Linked DNA regions of Saccharomyces cerevisiae S288C. The protein of the gene in region 4 binds, or shares a complex with, the protein of the main gene of each other region. Each region holds a gene or a part of one and is shown on either strand. Other genes may lie near its edges.

Region 1 (2,635 bases), on a different chromosome or scaffold from region 4:
ATTTCGATTAACTTCATTAAGATGCATTTAAACTCAATGCCACCGAGAACCATCATGTGTAAATGACCATTTTGACCTTTTATGGTACCAAATGCGCCAATCATAACTTTCAAAAGCTCTACCATTGTATTGCCTCTCAAAGATTCGTTGCTTAGATTTACTTTATAGTACATTGAATTATGAATTTTATCTCTTGTCAACCGAGGAATAACAAGTGACACTGACTGGTTATTCAGTTGTTTTGGAGAGATGTTAGACTCCACTTGAAATTCATTGACAGCCATTGTAGTCCTTGTTCTTTACCCACGTTTTGTTTTTGTTCTTGCGTTTTTACTGCCACTGAAAATATAGCGTTGTAATGGCTTTAGATTTTACTTTTTTTTATCATAATTCTTGTTCAGAACGTTCGTTATTGATATCACAAAATTATTTACATGATTAGACATTAAAAACATAAAACAGTACACATAGGGTTTACTATTCTAAACTATAGTTATCTTCTCTCTTATTCTTCAGAACCAGCCTATACTTTGGTTTTTTTTCATTTTTTCTACTCTCTTGGCATACTTCGAACCCTTCTTGGAAGCAATCAACTCATCTACCTTCTTTAAAGCTTCTTCACGTTTTTTTAGCTTTTCGTTTAATTTCAATTCATGCTTATGACCCTTGGGCAAGAGAACACCTTTCATGAGGGTCTTTTTATTGTATTTCTCCTCGAAGAAAAGTTTCTTAGTGTTTTCGATCGGTGGTAAAAACTCTTCTACTCCATAACGCAGTGCCAACTTATATACGTCACTCATTCTTCTAAGTGAATATTTCGGATCATGAAATCGTTGTGTGACCGGATGTTTATTTGGCAGGAAAGGATTGGCATTAATGGCTTTAGTAGATGTAGACACTGGAGAATACTTGATTGAAGGGGGGTATCTTTGGAAAAAGGACTTCAATTTCAAAGGCAAACTATCAAAATACTGTTTGTATGACATGGAGTTTAGTTTAATGCACTAGTTGGTTTTCCTATTCTGTATAAATGGTTCACTTTATTTCGTATTTCACTTGCTCTTCCACTTTCACTTGTATCCCAGTCATTTTTTTTTTTTGTTTGAGAAAAAAGGAATATAAAAAGGCGCTACTATAAAGTACTTAATGATACTATAATTTAGAAGATTGACTTGATAAGACCGTTGTGTACCACCAGTCGATGGCTAGGGAGGATTCTAGACTCGAAACCATTTCCCACAATTGTTGAAGTAGCTTTTTGTTATGTGTATTGATTAGCTGGAGACAGATGTTCAACCAGCCGATCAAATGATGAGGATTGTTGATAAAGGCTATTTGTACAATCAGACATTCAATCAATACATTCTTCTTTTCTGGGTTTTTTACATTAACAATTCTGATATACGTCTCGTGCAAAGAGTCCCTAAGCAAATGCTTGTTATAATTATGTAGTGAGGGAAGTTGTGTGGATAGATGGCCGAATATAAGTAAAATTTGATTTGCGGACAATTTACCTGCAATAAATTGGTCCATCGACATCTTTAAATAGACGAGTATGCGGGATACTTGCCATTGTGCAACCTGTGAGGAATAAGAGGAGTCTATAGACAGTACAGTGATTGTCAATGTGTGTATAGATTCTTTGATTTCAATATCCAAGGTATTGCCCGTCTTCCCGCTAAAAAATACATCGAAATGCAGTAAAGGTTCGATAAACTCAGTAATAAACGGCAAACGAATGCGACACCCATAGTAATTAGTAATTTTGTTTAGAAAATTGATGTAAAACACTAATTTATTTGGATCTTGTTTGGTGTTGTTTCTTTTCATTAGTTCCAAAACTGTAGTGATTTTAGACAAGTCATCCATGACAATGAAATACGTTACTAAATTATCGTAAACATAATCGTAACTGGGAAAACCGACTGTCCCGATTTTTTGAGTCAATACGTGGACGTGGAAAAGGCTTAAACAGATCATAGAATAAAAAGTGTCTTTATGGTTAGGCAGTATTGTCATATTCATGGCGGATAATTCTTTTAACGCGAGGATTATCAGGATAAATACATTTTGGAACTTGAAATCTAGTTGTTGTTCTTTCAACGAAGCCACAGTATCGGACAAGTATCGACATATCCTTTCTAGTTTGCGTACTGAATTTACCAAAGTTGCCTCATTTGACCTCGTGATTGAACTGGTCAAGCAACTGGCCAAATGATTCAAGTTGGTTGATAAGACTGAATCAGTCGAAAAAATTTCCATCGGCTGCACAATGCCGTGTACATACTCTTCCAAAAGGTCCAATAGTTTCTCTGTGACCAAATTCCATGATACGTCAACTCCATGCAAAAGGGCGCTTCGGTTTGACTGATTAAAAAGTAAAGCTAATGCTATCAGAAGGCAATGCTGAATCGATAAATTAGCCCTGACAATGGCAGTATTCCATAGCTGCGCCCATATTGGTGAAAACAGTTGTAATTTCCAGTTTCTGTAATAAAGCGCAGTTTTGTTGCTGGATTCATCAATAAAATAGGCGTTGTTCAATTGTTTGAAGCTCGGGTATGTGACTAGTACACCATCCAAAACCATCAACTGTGAAAGGTTCCACGTGGCTCGGTGAGATTCGAAAACAGCA
Region 2 (2,756 bases), on a different chromosome or scaffold from region 4:
GTCTTACCTCTTATGCCTTATTGCGTTTTTCCAAGCATCTGCTCCATATAATAAATGTAACTACCTATCAACCAACTTCCATGTACCTTACCCAATTGGCCTACCAAGTTTTCGTTACATTGTTTCGACATGATATCTAGTTGTTTTGTCGTTTCCTGTAAATTCGTTTGAAGCTCTCTAAGTTCGTGTGCAAGCTGATTATACTGCCTTTGTTTGTTAGCGTTCATTCTCTTGCCTGAAATTCTTTGTGTCCTCTTCGTTTTGAAGTTCAAATGTTCTGATATGTTCTATTTCGCCATTTATCTTGTTGATCTTTCTTCCCACCTTTACAAAAAAATAACGTTGATTTCAATGGGCATGATATAATATGAGCAATACAAAACATCAAAGCCTTCTTAGGAGTGTTACTTTCAAACATGGATCTATAAACAAGTTATTCAATGATTAAACTATATACAGATGAAATTTTTATATCAATAAAACGATCTTTTACGTATCATTCAAAAGAATTTTGGGGCCTTTCTAATGGAAATCTTCGTCCACTTGGGCACCTTATGAATACCCTTCCTATAACCAACAGCTTTTTTATCAAAAGTCCAATATTTATCTTTAGAAGACATTTGATTCTCCTTTGGAAAGACTGATGGTTTGTTTAACAACCTTAACGATTTACTTCTTGGCTTGTATTTCTTTTTGCTCTCCATGGCTTCTTGATAAGTAAGACCTTTATCCTGACATCTTTGGACGTGGAGACCTAAAGTTAATTGCTTTATGACTTGATCAACGTTTCTTAATCTTTCCCTTTGACGGGTTTTTTGATGTGTGGACATTCTCCATGGAATTTTCCATAGTAGGCCACCAGCGACGGGGCTTGTTAATTTGAATGGGCCAAACATTGGAGTCTTATAACTTGGGTAGCCTTTTAAATACGTCTCCTTCCTACAAAGTACGGATATCTTTTTTCCCTCTTTGGCTTCCCTTTGTCCTTTTGTTATACCGTTCTCTTGAACTTTTTGAATGCTCTTGTACTTCTCCGATTATAAAGTTGAAAACGGAGTGCCCTGTATTTATACCTATGATAGTTTAGGAAGATTTAACCATAATTAAAGCCAGAGATACAAAAGTCGAATATCTTCAAGTTATCTGGAACAACTTTCATATATTTGATAAGATGGAGCAAAACAAAGATCCGCAGATGATCTCGAAACATAGTTCTAGGCTACCTATATGGGTGCTAAGTCCTCGCGAAGAACAACAGGCTCGCAAGAACTTGAAGACGGAAACATACAAAAAATGTGCAAATTTTGTTCAAGCAATGGCAGATTGTGCTAAGGCAAATGGAATGAAAGTTTTTCCCACTTGTGATAAGCAACGAGATGAAATGAAATCGTGCCTCCTGTTTTATCAAACAGATGAGAAATATTTAGATGGTGAAAGGGATAAAATTGTTTTAGAAAAAATCAACAAGCTTGAAAAGTTATGTCAAAAACAAAGCTCTACAAAATAAGCTGTGTTGATTGATGTTTTTGATTTACATCTTTTAAGGATTTTTTGATATATCCATTCTTGTACATAAATTATATACACACAGCCCAACAATAAAAAGGAAAAATTAATACGAAGGGTATATATGTATGGTATAATACTTAAGTTCACTACAACGGACGTTTATAGTCAGAATAAATCGAGGAGATCCTGTGACACTATATTGCCGCCCGAAACATCGGGATTGTTTTTACCACCAGAAGATATACCGTTTGAGTCGCCACCTAGTTTCAGCTCCTTCAACCCTTGTACAGCCTTGGTATCATTTGTATTTATTTGTGTGGCATCCTCAGATGGTCCGAAATCAAATAAATCATCCAAATCGCCTAAAGTTGTTAAAGTATTCAGCATTCCTGCATTTGTATTTGTTACATCATCTCTTTCATCAAAATCCAATAGCACATCATCGTTAGCCTTGCTAGAAATTTCATTTTTTGCCATGCTTTCTAATTCCTCTATATGTTTTCCTTTAACTATATTTTGAACATACTTTTTGCCTTTTCTCCTATTTGAGTCGGGCTTGAAATAAATGGAACTTATAGTACCCAATTCCATTAATAGTTTCTCTAGCACTTCTGGTGAAAACTTCTCCAGTGTATTGGAGATCATTGGAAGTTTATTTTGACATAGATCATTAACCAAACTTTCATTATTTGGCATCGAAAGGCATCTCCAATACATCATAGCCATATCTCGCACATCTAATTCATGTGTCTGTTGTGTGGCCAATTCTAGGACGCTTTGTAGCATACTACCCGTTAAAGTAGCATGTAGTCTGACTATTGTCATTAGTAAAGACATCTGTGTTAAAGCTTCCTCTTGAACAAAGTTCTCTATAAAAATATTGATTTTTGACTCCAAATCTGAGAAATTGTTGGGATGCTGTCCTAGCAACCAGACATAGTTGCACTTCGCAATATCTGATTGTAATAACACCTCTGGATTTGACCAAGTATTAAATACTGCACAAACTTGTTTGGCCATCTTATCGTTTCCGGGGCAATGTCTTAATAAATCACATAATGATATACAGCAGTCGTCTTTTATTGTGTCTTGTCTTTCTAACAATTCTAGGAGAATATCCAAGACTTTACTGACGAATGATTCTTGTGCATATTTAATACCCAACTGGGACAAAGCTTGAATAGCTCTTGAAACAAACTCAGGTTCATATTCCATTGCGTATTCCTTTAATTCTGTCAACAACAAAG
Region 3 (2,780 bases), on a different chromosome or scaffold from region 4:
ATGTGACAGGCCCGGGGTGCAACACTTCAATGTATAACTACGCTGGCGTATTGGAGAATTTTTTGGATCTAAAATTTGTGCGGATACGGTTGATCGTCTTGGTGGCTCAGAGCTTCTCTTGGGTGAGGTAGAAGACGATCGATAAGGAATTCGGGTGACATTAATAGGACTTGAATCTCTTGAACGAGGCGGCCTGAAAAGGTTTTTAAAGGACTCAGAAAATGACCTTACTCTTCTTGTCACAGGTTGTTGCCGCTTCTTCTCCTCCTGCATTACCATTGATGCTGTCAATGTTTTTGAGTCCATCATGCAATTAAACTAGCTAGTTGAAGTGAAAATGAAATTTCCTTATTTTCCACAAGAAATACGCGGAGGGCAAAAAAAGGGACCCAAGGGCTGACAATATTCAGCACAATCCTACTTATTGTACTCTAAATTATATACTTATATGCCCCATAAGTGAGTTTTGAATTTACATATTTCCATGAAGGGCAATGTTTTTTGATATATACATGAACAAACTTATCGAGAGAAAGCTTATATAATACTTTCTTGCGGTCCAACTCTTATGATCTCATTTTCAGGAAGAGGAACGTGCTCTATTTTGTCAAGTAAGTCTTTCATTATATCTTCATGCATTTTATTACGCATATCAATAGTCTCTACAACGGAGCCTTCATGAGATAAAATCTCCAGTTTGCATGGAACGCTTTTTTGCTTGTCTTCGTTCTTTATCCTTATCACGTCAAACTTCATTCTTGGATTATAGAACTGCAAAGTGGGTAGGTAGTTATGCCAAAAAACTCTGGCACCCATATGTCCATTGTGGTTTTTCGTTTGAAAAGTCAATCTAAGACCTGAGTATTTTTTAGGATCGACTAGAATCTGCGGTAGTCTGGTAGTGGCGCTAATTTTATTCAAAAATTTTAACTGTTGTGCAACCTTAGACATCTTCTTATTGTAGCAGGCTCACTTATGTTATACTGTTCTTCTATTAATGAGTTTTATGGCCGATTCTTACAGATATCCTGTTTTCCCTGGGTGAAAAGTCCTAGATCACTTTGAACGTCCCAGTCTTCTGAGGACGCAAATGTAGTCACAATATGGCGTATATGAATGCTCCTTTATTTATCTGTATACACCTCTATTGAATAGACGTACGTAGATATATACATGTACATATATGCATGTGTCACTTTTTTATCATGGCCCTGTTAGACTCACCAAGAATCTATAACCAGGTTTGTTTGTGCTTTTTCTTGTTCTTGTTTTTACTTTTATTGATTTTTTTTTTTTTTCAATTACAATTATCCCACTGAACCTCCTTAAAATTCTTTCATTAAATCCATATATGGATCCTCCCCTTGAATTCCATAGTTGAATTCCTCTTCAGGGTATCTGTCAAATTGAGAAGTGTCACCTTGGCCCTGTTGGATTGGTGGTTCGTACGGCGTTTCTATGTATCTTGCTAACAATTTCTCCCATATCACTTCGTTAAACCACGGATGGTTCTTGACATCTTCACTTCCATTTTGTAAGTTACCCAACCTTTCACTTAAGTCTCTGGTAATTAGCTTCTTCAATAAGTCCTGCGCGTCTGGATGGAAAAATGGTGGGAACTTCAATTCGGCGTTCAGTATATTTTCGTAAGTTTTCATGGTGTTCGAATTGTAAAATGGAGTGTATCCGGCAAGCATTTCATAGATTAGCACACCAAAACTCCACCAATCCACTGATTTATTATACGGTTTTGTACTGACCACTTCCGGCGCTATGTAATCTGGTGTGCCACATAATGTGTATGTGACATCGGGAACGTATTTTGCGAAGCCAAAGTCGGTTATCTTGATATGGCCGTTTTTATCTAGAAGGATATTTTCTGGTTTCAAGTCTCTATATATTATATCCTTACTGTGCAAATATTCCAACGCTAAGCATACCTCTGCGGCATAAAATTTGGCTACTGGGTTGGGAAATCTTTGAGATTTACGTAGTAAAGAAAATAATTCACCACCTTCAATGTAGTCCATTACCATGAAAACTTGCTGAGAATCTTGGAACGTTCCCCACATTCGAATGATGAATGGATGTGAAACAATTGAAAGCATTCGGCGTTCGTCATTGGTGTGTTCAACCTGCTTCAGCTTCACTATAGTGTGCTTTTTCAATGTCTTCAAAGCGTAAAACCTCCCATTGTGATTGGAACGAATTAGGTGAACTCTCCCAAATGAGCCAGTTCCCAAAGTTCTTAAAATCTGAAAGTCACTTAGGGAATACTTTCCTGAGGTATCTCTATATTGTAGCATTGGTTTTTTAACCAAACAAATACCTGCAGACGCTTCTTCTTTCAACTTTCCGCTGTTTCTTCCATTTATCTCCACGGGTGTGTTGGAAGAACATTCCTCATGCACCGAATGTGCGTTTACAGGAATGTCTTGTCCAACGTTATCTGGAGTTGTTTCTGTCTTGGCAGTAATGCTTAATTTCCTGATTTCATTGTTGTTCATCGGATCAACATACATTTTGTGCAGGCTCGCTCTTTCCTTGTACAACCACCGATATACAATATGATTAATGTATTATTCAATAATATACGTGAAACTTTCTTATTGCTTAAAGAGTGATCGCCTATAAATTTTCTCCGACGACTGCACAAAGTGTCTCGTATGTCCACTCGAGTTTCTTACCGATAGAAGTAATAAAGCAGACAAAACTTTTAAGATCAGCTGGTAAAAAGTGTCTTTTCTTTCCATATTCTCATTGAACACAACTTTATTTTT
Region 4 (3,351 bases):
ACTAAGAGCTGCCAGAGCTAAGGCTATGAAATTTGCTGACGGTTTCTTGATTCACTCTGGTCAACCAGTCAACGACTTCATTGACACTGCTACTAGACACGTCTTGATGAGACAAGGTGTTTTGGGTATCAAGGTTAAGATTATGAGAGACCCAGCTAAGAGCAGAACTGGTCCAAAGGCTTTGCCAGATGCTGTCACCATCATTGAACCAAAAGAAGAAGAACCAATTCTTGCTCCATCTGTCAAGGACTACAGACCAGCTGAAGAAACTGAAGCTCAAGCTGAACCAGTTGAAGCTTAGATTTAATTATTAAATACATAAATAAACTATAAGTACAATAATTTCTTCTATTCTAGTGCACTTAATTGTTGCGGTTTCTTGCATATTGCCGTGTTTAGTCAGGAGGGTGCACGTTGAAGCAGTGCGTTGAAACTAGTTGTTATTTACAGAATCACAATATTATATAATCAAAAGAAAAGTTTTGTACAACACAACTGTGAATATAGGTTAAGAAGTGAGTAGCAGTTCATCTTTCTCAGCTTACAGGACGATTTCTCGGATATGAATGAGTTCGCTATCGTTTTCACCACTTGTATACGCCGCCTGTAACACCCCTAATGGGCTTATCTCCCAACTGTACCCATGGCGCTCTTTTTTGCTCTTTTAAATGTGCTTCATAAGCAAGTCTTCGTTTCGTAACACTCTTTGTTCTCAGAATACATCTGACATGTATGTAAGGATGACTTATGATTCCGATTCTTGTCCTTGCCTTGAATTCAACACGTTTTCTCCAAAACCCGTCACTCCCTGTCCAAATCTGAGAGATATATAAGTCCTCTGGTTTCAAACCTAATTTTTGGCCATCTTTTACACCTTTTTGAAGTAGTTCTGCTACTTCGCGAGCAATTTTCTTATTAGAAAAGTGACACTGAGATATAGCTTTCATAACGTCGAGGCCTCCCAATAACCTCAACAAAAGTGTAGCCTTTTTCATCGACGATTTAATTCTATATGACTGAGCATATACGGAAGGTTCTAGTACTTCAATTTCTCTTTTTGTTAACTTTAGCTTGTAACGTTCGCTAGAATTTGGTAACTTTACAATAGTATCTTTCTTGTAAAACCCACCATTAATTTTACAATTAGCTTCATATATTTCCCTTTTCAAAGGAGATAATAAGCTCTGTGATGCTAATTGTTCCGGTTGCTGCAACGATATGATATGTTGCTGTAGTAGTTTATCGTTTTCTATGGTTATTGAATCCCTATTAACTTCAGGAGCCTCTCCAGAAGAATCAGAAGCAATCGCTAACCTATTAGAGAAGCTGCCTGCATCTTCATCCCCCCTGTTTTTTCCTTCCTTTGGTTTATTTTCTGTAATGCTTCCGAATAGTGATCCTCCTGAATTATTAAGACTTATTGGCGTTACATGAATCCAACGTCTACTTACAGAAGAAAGTAGAGCCCTAGAAATGACACCGACCTGAGATATTCTTGCCGTGTGGAAGTTCATTTTCTTTAATAAAAAAGATAGGGTGAGGTGAGGTTCTCTGACTTGCTATGCGGCTCCTAATGGCGTATGTTAAAATGCCTTCCAGATTGGATAGTTGACTTTTATTCAAAATCCCGAGTACAGTGAAGGCTTAGTTACCCCGCCCACAGAAGATTAATAGAATATCATGAGTACTGTTCAAGCAGCAAGCAGGAGAAAAGACTGAAAGAGTTTCGTATAATTTAGTATTTATTTATTTAGGAGAACTAAAATATTTTCTTTATACACAAAGAACAAAGTTTTCTTTTTTTTTCATTGCAGAATGGTATCATTGTTTTTTATGCCTTTTAAAAGGCCTTGTCGTTCTTCACTATTGGCAATAAAGATGTTTTTATGATTTTTAATAGTAGTGTTATTCAGCAAGAGCTGATTTTGCTTAATTAGTAAACATCATACTAATAGACTGAAGTCATCGTCATATAATTTCCCTCAAGAACCCTTGTGAATTGTTCTGAACTGTATTTCTCTCATCATGAGAGATGTCATTATCTAAACCACGTCCGAGTCGTATCGAATTTGAAGATAAAGTAGAAAAGCCACCTTGAGTAGATGAACCCAATGACGAATATGTAAATGAAGAGCCATAGGAAAATCTGTTTTCCTGGTCCATGAAATTACTCCGCATATTTTGAAAGGAGCCATTCATTGCGGTAACATTCCTTGGTGGTGGCACTGGAGGAGGATTTCCTCTTGCCTTAAAATTGAATTCGTTGCTGAACGGATTATTAGCAGAAGCAGTCTCGGTGTTTCGTTGCTGTGATCCCGAGTCTTGAGCTTGAAGTGACGCCTCTTTTGCTTGGGCAGTTGTTGGGAATCCCGTTCTGCGCCCAATCTCGTGACAGAAGGAATCGTTTTCCTTGAAATGCCTCTTTGCCTTCCTTTTTCTAACCAGCATGAACCAAACTACTAGTACACATATAAGAATACCACCGACGCTTCCTACCACACTTCCAACAATGGTACCAGTATTTGTCTTTGAAGTGCCTTGGTTTTTGTTATTATCCAAACTGCCATCAAGCCAGTGCTGATAGAAAGACATGTCAGCTGTGATCGTCGAAGATGGAGCGGAAAATGAGGTTACCTCACTTTTTGCAACTGCTATGGTCGTAGGTAATCCCGTCACGAACGTTGTAGAGGAGTCAGTAATATCATATGTTTGGGTATAGAAATAATAAATAGTTTTTGAATCTTCGGAGCTTGAAATGGCTACCGTATTGAAGACCTGACTGGATGTTGGTATGGGAGACGTAGAAATCGTACTAGTGCTGGGTGTTTGAGTGGTGGGTGGTATACTGCTGCTAGTAGTAGATTGTAAGGACTGAAAAGTATACGTGCTTGAGTAAGCACTTGTTGTATCATCTGATGATGATGATGATGAAGGACGGTTTGAAGGTACTTTACTGCTGGATGAGCTAACAGAACTTGACGTTGGCACGGAAATCGTGCTTATGGAAACTGTCGAAGATGAAGCTGATGGACTGAGTTTCGATGATTTGCTTATGGTTGAAAAATCGTTCGTCGATGAAAGCGATGAACTGTAAAACGATGTGGAAGTATTCCGACTGGAACTTGGGAATGTGGTATCTTTATTTGATATCGTAGAAGGAGAAGAAATTGTTGAGAACCAACTAGAAGAGAGTTCTGAAGTGGTACTAATTTGAAATGAAGTTGCAGATATGGAAGACAAGTATGTGTAACTAGGGGATATTACGGTGGGTGTTGATGGTGAGAAAATAGAAGATCTGCTGTCGAACGAAAACAATTTAGTGTCTGAATATGATGAAGATAGTGATAATGA

Evidence for each region.
Region 1: MRPL22 (region 4) and MRPL25 share a complex: the UniProt entries of both Saccharomyces cerevisiae proteins name them as parts of the mitochondrial large ribosomal subunit.
Region 2: MRPL22 (region 4) and MRPL31 share a complex: the UniProt entries of both Saccharomyces cerevisiae proteins name them as parts of the mitochondrial large ribosomal subunit.
Region 3: MRPL22 (region 4) and MRP49 share a complex: the UniProt entries of both Saccharomyces cerevisiae proteins name them as parts of the mitochondrial large ribosomal subunit.

The regions. Positions count from the first base shown.
Region 1 is NC_001139.9:636,592-639,226, forward strand, and holds MRPL25 (mitochondrial 54S ribosomal protein mL59 MRPL25), read right to left. Parts: upstream 987-2,635; coding exon 513-986; downstream 1-512. Other genes in the region: U4/U6-U5 snRNP complex subunit PRP38, read right to left, coding at 1-284; PEX8 (Pex8p), read right to left, coding at 1,153-2,635. UniProt on the Saccharomyces cerevisiae protein: Component of the mitochondrial ribosome (mitoribosome), a dedicated translation machinery responsible for the synthesis of mitochondrial genome-encoded proteins, including at least some of the essential transmembrane subunits of the mitochondrial respiratory chain.
Region 2 is NC_001143.9:184,786-187,541, forward strand, and holds MRPL31 (mitochondrial 54S ribosomal protein mL60 MRPL31), read right to left. Parts: upstream 897-2,756; coding exon 501-896; downstream 1-500. Other genes in the region: HSK3 (Hsk3p), read right to left, coding at 18-227; CMC1 (Cmc1p), read left to right, coding at 1,172-1,507; APL2 (Apl2p), read right to left, coding at 1,675-2,756. UniProt on the Saccharomyces cerevisiae protein: Component of the mitochondrial ribosome (mitoribosome), a dedicated translation machinery responsible for the synthesis of mitochondrial genome-encoded proteins, including at least some of the essential transmembrane subunits of the mitochondrial respiratory chain.
Region 3 is NC_001143.9:133,184-135,963, forward strand, and holds MRP49 (mitochondrial 54S ribosomal protein mL61 MRP49), read right to left. Parts: upstream 952-2,780; coding exon 538-951; downstream 1-537. Other genes in the region: putative serine/threonine protein kinase KKQ8, read right to left, coding at 1-279; cAMP-dependent protein kinase catalytic subunit TPK3, read right to left, coding at 1,326-2,522. UniProt on the Saccharomyces cerevisiae protein: Component of the mitochondrial ribosome (mitoribosome), a dedicated translation machinery responsible for the synthesis of mitochondrial genome-encoded proteins, including at least some of the essential transmembrane subunits of the mitochondrial respiratory chain.
Region 4 is NC_001146.8:303,102-306,452, forward strand, and holds MRPL22 (mitochondrial 54S ribosomal protein uL22m MRPL22), read right to left. Parts: upstream 1,515-3,351; coding exon 585-1,514; downstream 1-584. Other genes in the region: 40S ribosomal protein uS3 RPS3, read left to right, coding at 1-301; TDA7 (Tda7p), read right to left, coding at 1,969-3,351. UniProt on the Saccharomyces cerevisiae protein: Component of the mitochondrial ribosome (mitoribosome), a dedicated translation machinery responsible for the synthesis of mitochondrial genome-encoded proteins, including at least some of the essential transmembrane subunits of the mitochondrial respiratory chain.